Linked DNA regions of Arabidopsis thaliana. The protein of the gene in region 2 binds, or shares a complex with, the protein of the main gene of each other region. Each region holds a gene or a part of one and is shown on either strand. Other genes may lie near its edges.

Region 1 (5,788 bases), on a different chromosome or scaffold from region 2:
CCCTTTGTCTATTTTTACCTTGAGTGTGCTGCAACATGTTGAGTCTGGTGCTTTAGCTTTGTTAGTGACAAAAGGAAGACAAGAGTAGAGATCAGACATCGCATCCTGACATCCCTTTATATCCTGACTCAATTCTGATCTCACACCAAGGAACATTACTGCTACTGTTATGCATAGAGCCAACATTTGTGGATTTTGATTGTAAGCCATGAATCTAGCCATCAGTTAATGCAGCAGAGTAAGAACTTAATGTGGCTTTTTATAAGACTTGTTTCTTGTTCACATATGTTTCCCTCTCTAGTTATAGGGATACTCGAGAGTTCTAAGTCTGCAAGAAACTTGATTTAAAAGGATTATATAATGAGTACTGGTTAACATGTCTAATTTCTGAATTGAAATTTGAGTTTTGGAATTTGGATCATCTTCAGTTATTGGAGGGGTACATATAAAATATATCAAGTTGTTCACAGTTCGTTTTCACAGTATCTGCAAGATATCTACAAGTGAAGAGACTAGAAAATTGATGGTTAAGCTGTAGGGTTAAGAGTGTAAGGAGGATTGCAACCATAGAAGACACAGATTTTAATATGGAAAAGGTGAAGTCACTATTTTCTTGAAGAATCTAATTGTTTACATTGTTACAATCACAAGCCAGTGAAGACAAAACTTTCTGGCAAAGAGGAAATAACTATAGAAAGAAAAGCCAAGCGAACCAAGCAGTAAATAAAACTGTGATACAGAGTAGAACGCAAGCGAAAAACCCAGCGGGAGAAACCCCAGGGACATGGCCATGCTATCTACTTCATGTAGCTTAACCATATCCATTGGAACCAGTCTTTGGTATCGGGTTATTACAGCTGCAGTATCTCTATAAAATATTGTTTCGTCTGGCCCTGGGCATGCAGCGAAATTCAGCCAAAAGTGCAATGTGATCAGAAGACCATTCTGGAGATGGAAGAGCTGTGTCCTTCCTCAAGGACTCTTCATCCAACAGTTCCAACAACGATTCCACTGTTAGCGTGTCCGCTGAAACAAAACAAAAAGCAAATTGCTTACCAGATGAAAAAGAAATCTGAGATGAAAGCAAACACTGGCGCGTAAAACCCCTGAAAGTAAGCACTTAAGTTAACCTGTGTAAAATATGTAATCAAGTGTGCCTATAAAGTCCCTGGTACAGTTGGTAAACAACGGTTCACTTGATGCAGGATCCAGTCTTCTACGTTGCTGCTCAGTAATAACGTTGCCTCCCATTTTTGCAAATTGTGAGTAGGCACTAACCTGCAATGGTCACAAAGGTATGATGTCTACGCATATGTTGCCATTCTAATTAAAATTGAAGTCTGCCTTTCACGATTCTGTGCATCTGTTTTCCATTTTTGGGAAAGATAATTACCAGTGGCAGCTGATGAGTAAGCTTGCTGTGAGGACGTAAAATTCCAAGAGGATCAACCATCAAATCTGGGTGCAATGGATCGACCTTTCCCACAGCAAGAAGTGTATGAGGAGCACTGAAAATATTAAGAAGGAACTCCAAGTTAATTCAGGTAGAAACCACAATCATAATTTAATATAGAGTTTGACAATTGCTACTTGGGCATAACAAATAGGAAAACCAGCCAGACCTCGCAGGTACTGTGTTGAAATCTCCACACACAAGCATTGGAATATCTGCACTGGCAGCTATTTTCTCCAGTCCCTTCAATAATGTGTGAACCTATTTGGGCAAGAATCATTATGGATCAATAGTGATGTAAGAATCCGAAATCTGAGAGTTCTTTTACAATGAGAAATAAAGACCAACCTGCCACAGCTTTACATCTTTCAATTCATGAGGAACGTTTACATGCGTGTTAGCCTGCACCCATCAAATACATGAAAAGAGAGAAAACATGATCACCTCGAGACCTTTAAAGGAGAAGAGGAAGTGGAAACACATAACTTCAACTCTAGCATCATCTCTGACAATAAAGAACAATATTGAAAAGATGGACAACTTACCACACAAAGTAGCTGGCGCTTCCCAGGATTGTCAGCAGCCTGGCTACCGAATTTTGCTTCCAGTACAACTATTAAAGCAACATTATCCTAAAAAGAAAGACTCTAAATCAGTTTTACATGAAAAAATATCACCAAGAATGTGCGGAAAACAGAAATCATACTATAGAGCATCTCAGAGTACCTTGACCAACCGATTCAAAGCATTTTTCTTCTGGGAAACAGGGATAATAGCCTCAGTCAAAGACTGTGCAGCCTTGTTGAACTCAACCTGGATGAGCAGCCCAATGATTTAGCAAATGGGCCTAATTAGATAGGTAACAGGAGAAAACTAAGACATACCTCATATTTTTTTACATGTGAGAACCTGTCTCTTCTGAAGAAAGTAGCGCACCCATCAATTGTGTTTGTATTACCGATGAAAACCTAAAATTATCCAGTGAATCAATATTTTCTGGTTGGTACATCTTGCAGATAAGTGACCACGAAAAGGTAATGGAAGATCAAGGGGATGCGTTGAAGCAAACCTCATTTGTTTTCCTCTTAAAAAGACCTTGGTATCCGTGTTTATCCAGCTCAGGAAGAAAAAACTCCTCAAAATGATCATTCTGTACCTGCAAGATGAAAAACGAAAATATTGGAGAGGTATTTATCCATTAACTAGCAATTGAAACGTTTCCAAGTCAGTACAACTTGTGCCATAAATATTTAACATACCTCTTGTAGACAAACTATATCTGCACGGTACTTGACAATTTCCCGTAACAAATTCTGTCTACGGTATGTCCAAGCGAGAGCCCATGTGGGGCAGTAACTGTATATGTCGCTGCTAGCATATGTATCAGACAATATATTGTAGGACAGCACAGTGAATGTTCCCATAGACAAAGGCCGCCCATTAGAATCCAGGTGCCCAGTAACATCAGTTCCACTAATAGAGATCAGCCTACGCGGAGAAGGTGATGGAGCTGGGATAACACGGGAAGTCAATATGGTACAAGAAAGGCCCACATTCTGTTTTGTCTCTGCATTGACTACTACACATTCAAACTTCAAAACATGGCAAATATCATCAGCCATTGGTGTGTATGTCTTAGAGCGTCCAACCTCAACAAGTGTTTCTCCTCCGGCGCCGGTCTTTTGAGTTATGGCTGAAGGATAAACTGATGATGACCCATTCGTTAAACTAACACTGGTGCTGAGAACACCAGATCCAGACCCTGAGCTATTCAAACGGGGCAACTCTTCTTCATCATTTCCTTCTGTAGCAGCACTGGCAGCACGCTCATGCAACACACGGTGATGTTGCCACGCATCCGAAAAGCACTTAGTAGAGCAATGGTAGCTTTTGGCAACAGGAACTTTAGACTTTAGACATCCCAGACACTGCAATGTTGCCGTCTCGGATGGATGCACACTACAAATCGCAACTTTCTTATCACTCTGTACTCGAAACCTGCAACAGATGATGCATCTTTTAATACAGAACCAAAAGACAAGACTGGAGACTTATAAACCCTACTTTACAATTAAAGAAATCATTTTTCACACTCAAATTTGCAAACGAACAAAGACTTGAACTGACTAAGAAACACTTAAACAAATCATACCCGGGAATTCACAGAAAAGTCTCAAACTTTCGGTAAAAAAAAGTCGTCCATAACAAACTCGAGCAAAAGCTAGTAAAAGGGAGCAGATTTAAGAGTAAAAGGAAGCCACAGGCATGACTTACCATCTGTACTTTAAGAAGTGACCTTCAAGCGGGGCTGACTCAGGCACATCATCGGTGGAGGGGGTCTTATCAGGCCGCCGGAGAAGTACGTAAGGTGTAAGTTCGCAGCCAACAATAGGAATCTCCGACGGTAGATGCACTCGTATAACGCTAAGCATTGCTTTTACCGTAACTAAGTTAAATTCTGAAAGCAAACCAACACTAACGAAGCCCAAAGGCTGAGATTTTTAAATATATATATTGAGACGAGAGAGCATAAGATATAAAACGGATCCTAATGGATCCGTCATTTACTTGACCCTAAAACTCGACAGCATGGATGAACCCTAATTTTCCCAGAACCCTAATTTTCCCAGAACCCTAGATTTACCCCCAATTTTCTCCAAACCCGAATTTTACAACCTAAAATTTATGAAATTGAAATCCAATGAGTGGGATAGATTTGTTCGCTACGACTAAATTAATTTCCAAAGATGGACAAAGACCAAAGAAAAATACTTGGGTTCTATATTCACTGTTTTAGCCCATTAAAATTTAAAACCTAATAATAATAATAAAAGTTTAATTTAATTATAAAATCTAATTTGCCTCAAAAACAAAATTATATATCGATTTGAGTTTATTTGAAAAAATCATGGTTTAGATTTTACAATTAAACAAGGTTAAATATTGATTTGGGTTTAGAAAATACGATTAGGGTTTAGATTTTATGATTAAACGAGATTAAATATCGGTTTTGGTTTAGAAAGTACGATTAAGGTTTAGATTTTATGATTAAACGGGTTAAATATTGGTTTAGATTTATTAACAGGTTTAGATTTAACAATTAAACAAGGTTAAATGTCGGTTTGGGTTTAGAAAATACGATTAGGGTTTAGTTTTTTTACGACTAAATGAGTTTAAATGGCGGTTTGGATTTACAAAGAAGAATTAGGGTTTAGATTTTGTAATTAAACGAAATTATATATCGGTTTGGATTATAATTATAGCTTCAATTTATTATGTAATTTAAATAGGATTTGACATGACATATTTTTATTAGTTAATGCAAAAGGAGGTGAACAAAGAGGTTCATCCCCCTAGGAATGAACGCAAGTCTCGTTCAAGACCAAATATGGACTCGTATTTTTATTTTATTTTATTTTCCAAAGGGAAACAAAAAGTCTTTAATACTCTTTTTTCTATATACACATATATTCACCTATTTATAATAAAAAAGATTGAAACTTACGGAAAATATAATACAGTACAAACTATATATGTCAACTAAACTAAATAACACTTAATTAAATGATGTATATAGATTGCATAACCAAGTATATAATATTATATAGTTAACATTATAAATATAAAATTTCATGTTAAATAACCAATTAACTCTAACGTCAACCGGTGTTAACCAACAAAAATATTCAAAAATAAATTTTTACTTTATTTTTAATATTAAAAATCTAGTTTTACTAGTTATTCTATAATCAAAAAACAATTTTTACATCTACTATAAAAATATTTTGCATATATATTTAATACATTGATTCTTAAAATATTTAGCTTTTTTTAATTTCAAAACTAAACTAAAAATGAAAAAAATGATTAAAATTTTTAAAACAAAAAAAAAACTGAAATTAAAACCAGAAAAATCTTATTAGAAACATATGAGTGAAAGAATCTTTTTTTTGTATTATCAATTAAAATATATAAACTTCTTTATTCATTAGAAAATAAATCATTACAGAACCAAATACACATGACTATATAAGTTTCATAAGAAAGTAATATGAAAAACAATTGAGTATATAACTTTTTAGTCTAAATTTTGCACGGTAATTTTTAAATTCAAAGTAAATGTTTTTTACGAATAATATAAGAAAAAACTAACTATTGATTAAAAATATTTAGCAATTAAAAATTTAACTTCTTAAGAAACTAACTATTATTATTATTATTATGAATAGTTCATATCTTAAAAAAATATTTATTCTCTTAGTTTAGTTTTGAAATTGAAAAAATAAAGTAAATATTATATGAATTAATGCATTATATATATATACAAAATATATT
Region 2 (5,519 bases):
GAGTTCAGATCCGCCGAAGCAATAATATGAACATAGAAATAATCAAAATAAAAAACCATATTTGTATGCATAAATATTGTTTCCCACTTTTTTCGAACCAGATTCAAACTCTTATGAAGTTATCCCACTATGTTTATAGAGTTCGAAAGTAAAGACCATTATAAACATGAAAGAAGATAACCATTTAACTCGTAGCAATGGATCGGAGCACGCTTATTCTTCTTCCTCTTAATTACCTCGAAAAGCCTGGAACCGGAAGTAAGCTTGGGACATATATAGTAGCAACCAGGACCACCAATTGAAGACTCCATAGAAGAGTAACATTCAACTTTCGGGCATTCTTATGTCTCTCCCACAACGTAGATGCTAATTGACCTAGTTACAAAGTGACGAATATATAGCAGAATCTTACCATTGTTCTCAATGAAGTGACTTGGATATATTGGAAACTTGGGAAGTTGAGCTATAGAAACTGTCATTAACCTACTCCAATGCTTCTTCATCAGTATATCTTACCTGCTAAGTGCGGTTCACGTAACAAAGAAAGATGATCTCCACGGAAAATCCCTAAAGAAAGAGAATCTTTCCACTGGATCCCGATGGATGAGTGATGAAGAGACTCGAACAAGGTCTCAAATCTCTCTTTTGAGAAATCGAAACTTTGTATCGAAACGGTACCGTAGATATTATAACCTATCCAATAAGGAGTTCCTCCTATACACACACTTGACAATGGTAGTCGAAAGAACCCATGGAAGGTTTTATCAACAACAACAACCTTCCAACAATCAGATTTGAAATCGTAGATTTCAACACTTAAATTATTAGGACACCGAAACCTAACCATTTTGTAATCATTACAACCACTTGGTGACTCGTTACTAATGTATCCAAGACCATATGCATCGATGGAATGGTCAAACTCAAAGCTATAGCCACATTTGATCCATCTTGCTTCTTTCAACAACGGATTGGAAACTAAAATTTTGGTTCCCATGACCATTAGCAATAGACCATCACAATGAAACATGTTGTGCTCCAATAAATCCGAAGATGAAAGCGGTTTAAAAACCTGAAAATTTAAACTAGGTTTGTTGTTGAAATCCATACCGATACAAGAAATTGTTGAGCACAATGGAGAAACTGTGGCCGGAACGTAATTGAAGACTGTGAATATCGGTTCAAGACCATGCATGTGAGACATGTGCTTGTTGACGAATATCGGTTCTGTGATTAGTGTTTTCCATTGCTTGCATGTCCTCTACCAAATTAGTTTGTAGTATGTCCTTTACCAAATTAGTTTGTAGTATTATATTTGGGTTTGTTATTTTCAATTTAGGGTATATATTTTTATTATTAAAAACTTTTTTGATTCAATTTAATATTAGATTAATGTTTGCTCTCATTTTTATTTGGGGGATTGATACAAATAGTAATAAAAAAAACTTTATTATTTAATTAATTTATAGAGGATTAAAAATTTTATATGCTATTTTGGAAATTTCAAAAAAAAGGTGTCATTTTTTGGAATAATAAAGTTTTTTAGTGTCATTTACGTCAATCCCCTTGTTATATTAATATTGGTGTGAAGCTTTTTGGGAAATATATCTATAATTTCTCATCTTATAAAGTTTTATGCTCAAGTGAGTGTTAGTATGGAAATTTTTAATTCGCAATAGTGTATATTGGTCCGTAATGGTGAATTAGTTAAATATCGATTAATTAGATTTTAGTCTGGTACACAACCATTTATAGACTAAATATCTGACAGTAAATGATTTAGAAACTCATACTAACTTATATAGTTATATATATAGGTGCTTTGGGAATTTTTGAAAATTTTGGGTTTTGGATTTTGACGTTGATTTCGATTGGATTTTTATTTGTTGGAAAGTAAATGAACCTACTAATGACCTATTTTTGGTTCTAAAGTTCCAATAAATAAAATGAAGGCTCACTAACTACTTTAATATAAAGACAGGGAGCAAATGATAATTATCGAATTCTTCACTATTTTATTTGAAAACCCACAAGAGTTTCTTCAATCTAAAGCCAAATTGGGTTAAGTCAATTGTTGTCACTATAGATGTTTAGTTCTACAACTCTGCATCATCTTCCTCGTCCGAATCTTCTTCTTCCCAGGTGGGTTTCTTCGTTTCTGTATCAATCAATATACAGTTTCATTTTCTGTAATCTCAAGTTTCGTATTTAGTAATGCAACTAAATTGATCGTCTCTGTTCATTGTCATTGGGCAATTTCGTTGAGGAATACAATTTGTTTAGAAATTTCTCATCTTTATATTGGAACCAATCCTCTAGAATCTCGAATTTATCTGGGCTGTAATTGAAATTTTATGGGGAATTAAATCAGCTTCTTAATTTTGACCTAAATATTGATGTTCAAGGATTGTTTTTTTTCCTGACCCTTTGATTCAACAGCTCTCGTGTCTGCAGGAAAGTTATTTCGAGAAGAATGAGTACGAATCCTGCAATTGAACCAAAAGTTCGCAAATTTGAATCTGTTGAAGGAGTTGATATTGGTTCAAGAAATAAATCCGATGGTTTTTTTGCTATTCCTCTTTACTTATCAAAGCTTGTGGCTTTATATAACTGTATAAGTTTAAGTAGAATTGGTACTAGTAATGAGAATTTTGTGTTTTCAGGTATCAGATTCCGTCTTGTTTCATATAACATATTAGCTCAGGTAAGAAATAATCAAGCTTTTTAATCTCTCATATGCTTTGTGATATTTTGTAGCTTAATATTTGGACGAATTTTGTAGTTTTAAACGATCTTACGAATTTCTGAGCTTGATTTATAGATACAGACAGTTCTTTTAGCTCTTTCCTTTGTTGAGTTTCTTATCTATTTGAGCTTTATATTTCTTGTAGGTTTATGTGAAGAGTGCACTTCTCCCACACTCTCCACCTGCCTGTCTCAAGTAATTATTTTTCTCTACATTTCTCAGTTTCGAGATCAAATTTACTTATACTAGTCAAGAGTTCTTTCTGTGAGTTGTGTAATCAATGGCCTGGAGTATAGTCAAGATTTGCTTCAGAAAACAACAATGGATTCTATGAATGTTTAGGAACTTAGCTATAAGCAGGCAATATTGTGTTTGGTCTTACCCACGTTAATTATCCATTACCCAATATGTACTTTGGATTTAGCGATATATTAACTTTGTTAAAATATTAGGGAATGGTGCTTCTTAAAGGGTTATGGTTTTGTAGTAAATGTGACTTGGTCTTCCTTTTCTTGTGTTGCAGATGGAAAGCTCGTTCACATGCAATTCTCAGCGTTCTCAAAAATCTCCAGGCTGATTTCTTTTGTCTGCAGGTACTTTATTCTTGTGAAAACTTCTTCTTTTGTGTTTAGGTAGTATTGAGATACCCTTTTCGTATGAAACACAAAATTCATTCTTCTCTTTTGTTCAATCCATTAGACAAGCTCAGGCCTGTAAAAATGTTAGTGTTGTTTGTTCATAGGGCCTTTGAATTGTGTTTAACAAAAGGGTGTCTCCACTTGTTAGTTATATAGTTGCAATGCTCGCAGGAAGTAGATGAGTACGATAGCTTTTACAGAAATAACATGGACTCTCTGGGATATTCTGGGATTTATATTCAGAGAACCGGCCAGAGGAAGCGTGATGGTTGTGCAATCTTCTACAAGCCAAGCTGGTATGATAAAAACATTAAGCCTGACAAGACGTTAACTTAATGCAAAAACATCAATCTGATTGAAACAACACTCTTCTTTTGATTTAGTGCAGAGTTAGTCACAAAGGAACGGATCGAATATAATGATCTTGTGGACTCAATAAAAGCAGATAGTGTTTCCTGCAGCGAACAGAAGATTGAGACATCCAACGAAGGAAAAGGTGATGAGAAAGCGAAAGATAAATTTGTCCTTTTGGAGGAAAAGAAAGCAAATACTTTGTGCTGTTTCTTTATATCTCAACATCATTACTAACTTTTATCTATGTTCTCTTCACATGTTTCCACAAATCTGCCCCAAACAAAAGATTCTCGAAAAGACAGTCGTGACCTTAATGATCCACTAGTGAGACTAAAACGTGATTGCGTTGGAATAATGGCTGCTTTTAGGATCAACAAGCCGTTTCAGCATATCGTTATCGTGGCAAACACACATCTTTACTGGTAAAAATACTTGTCACCGATTGAAGATTATCTTTTACCACCCTTTAAACTTTCATCTCATGTTTACTTATCTCTAGGGACCCTGAATTGGCTGATGTCAAGCTTGCTCAAGCCAAGTATCTACTGTCACGACTAGCTCAGTTCAAAACACTAATATCAGATGAATTTGAGTGCACACCTTCATTGCTACTAGCTGGCGACTTCAATTCAATTCCTGGGGATATGGTTTGATTCAGTTTCTTACATTGAGTTTCCCTAATTGTTCAATCTATTTGCAAAATCAAAAGATTGGGTTTACGGTGGTAAAATCCTGATACTTGTCGTCGTTTTCCAGGTTTATAGTTACCTAGTATCGGGTAATGCTAAACCCACAGAGACCATAGAAGAAGAAGAAGCTCCAGTTCCTCTGTCTAGTGTCTATGAAGTCACAAGAGGAGAGCCTAAGTTCACAAATTGCACTCCTGGCTTCACAAACACACTTGACTACATCTTCATCTCTCCTTCAGACTTCATTAAACCTGTGAGTATCCTTCAACTACCTGAGCCGGATTCTCCAGATGTTGTCGGTTTCTTACCGAATCATCATCACCCGAGTGATCATTTACCTATAGGAGCTGAGTTTGAGATTCGTCGGGAATAGGAAGTTTCGTTCTTTAGAAAGTTTTGTCGCATAACTCCATTGTTTCAGCATTTGAATATGGTTCTTGTAGAAATCATGAAGCAGTGAATCATACACACACAACACAAAGTATTAAAGGACTTGGATCATTTTTGTCTCAATAAACTCGAAATTTTCGTTGTGTGCATTGAATTACTGAGAATATTTGAATTTTCTTGAGAAGAAATTGTTTAATGTGTCTTGTTTATTGCACTCATAAAATAACATAAGAATTGGTTCTATTATTCTGTAGTCAACTAGACAAAAACAATAGAAGATTTAGTGAAATGACATGTTAATATCATATGATGATCTCGTTTCAATTTGTTGAATAAAGTTGCAACAAAATTAGGTCAAGCATTGATCTGTTTTATCTATCAACCACTAAAGTTTGTACTATCGCACCAACTTATAATAATAAATCATAATTTTGAGTACGAACGAATATTCTTTTACAGTCTCACCTTTCACCGATAATTTGAACCATTGTTATTGAATAAAGTCGTACTCTTCAAACTTTTATCCAAAATGACAGTGATGTAATGTTATGTTCCAAAAACATAAGATTTTTTCAAAACGGATAGTGATCATTCCTTTGAATATATAATCACAAACAACCGAACAAAAATATTATATTTTCTATGCTTATTATATGTTCTTATAAATAAATATCATTTAGCATAAGCTTCCCTTGAGAACCT

Evidence for each region. Proteins that work in one complex are often made in the same cells at the same time.
Region 1: AT1G31500 (region 2) and AT3G58560 share a complex: the UniProt entries of both Arabidopsis thaliana proteins name them as parts of the CCR4-NOT complex.

The regions. Positions count from the first base shown.
Region 1 is NC_003074.8:21,650,012-21,655,799, forward strand, and holds AT3G58560 (DNAse I-like superfamily protein), read right to left. Parts: upstream 4,190-5,788; 5' UTR 3,886-4,189; coding exon 3,728-3,885; intron 3,452-3,727; coding exon 2,713-3,451; intron 2,610-2,712; coding exon 2,523-2,609; intron 2,422-2,522; coding exon 2,338-2,421; intron 2,267-2,337; coding exon 2,180-2,266; intron 2,086-2,179; coding exon 1,999-2,085; intron 1,856-1,998; coding exon 1,802-1,855; intron 1,715-1,801; coding exon 1,623-1,714; intron 1,509-1,622; coding exon 1,394-1,508; intron 1,279-1,393; coding exon 1,131-1,278; intron 1,027-1,130; coding exon 869-1,026; 3' UTR 554-868; downstream 1-553. Other genes in the region: AT3G58550 (Bifunctional inhibitor/lipid-transfer protein/seed storage 2S albumin superfamily protein), read right to left, coding at 1-222. UniProt on the Arabidopsis thaliana protein: Acts as a catalytic component of the CCR4-NOT core complex, which in the nucleus seems to be a general transcription factor, and in the cytoplasm the major mRNA deadenylase involved in mRNA turnover.
Region 2 is NC_003070.9:11,273,102-11,278,620, reverse strand, and holds AT1G31500 (DNAse I-like superfamily protein), read left to right. Parts: upstream 1-1,992; 5' UTR 1,993-2,086; coding exon 2,087-2,142; exon of another isoform or gene 2,143-2,146; intron 2,147-2,439; coding exon 2,440-2,704; intron 2,705-2,891; coding exon 2,892-2,941; intron 2,942-3,269; coding exon 3,270-3,339; intron 3,340-3,555; coding exon 3,556-3,680; intron 3,681-3,767; coding exon 3,768-3,880; intron 3,881-4,024; coding exon 4,025-4,160; intron 4,161-4,237; coding exon 4,238-4,385; coding exon of another isoform or gene 4,386-4,391; exon of another isoform or gene 4,392-4,494; coding exon 4,495-4,800; 3' UTR 4,801-5,019; downstream 5,020-5,519. Other genes in the region: AT1G31510 (F-box associated ubiquitination effector family protein), read right to left, coding at 159-340, 413-472, 517-1,204. UniProt on the Arabidopsis thaliana protein: Acts as a catalytic component of the CCR4-NOT core complex, which in the nucleus seems to be a general transcription factor, and in the cytoplasm the major mRNA deadenylase involved in mRNA turnover.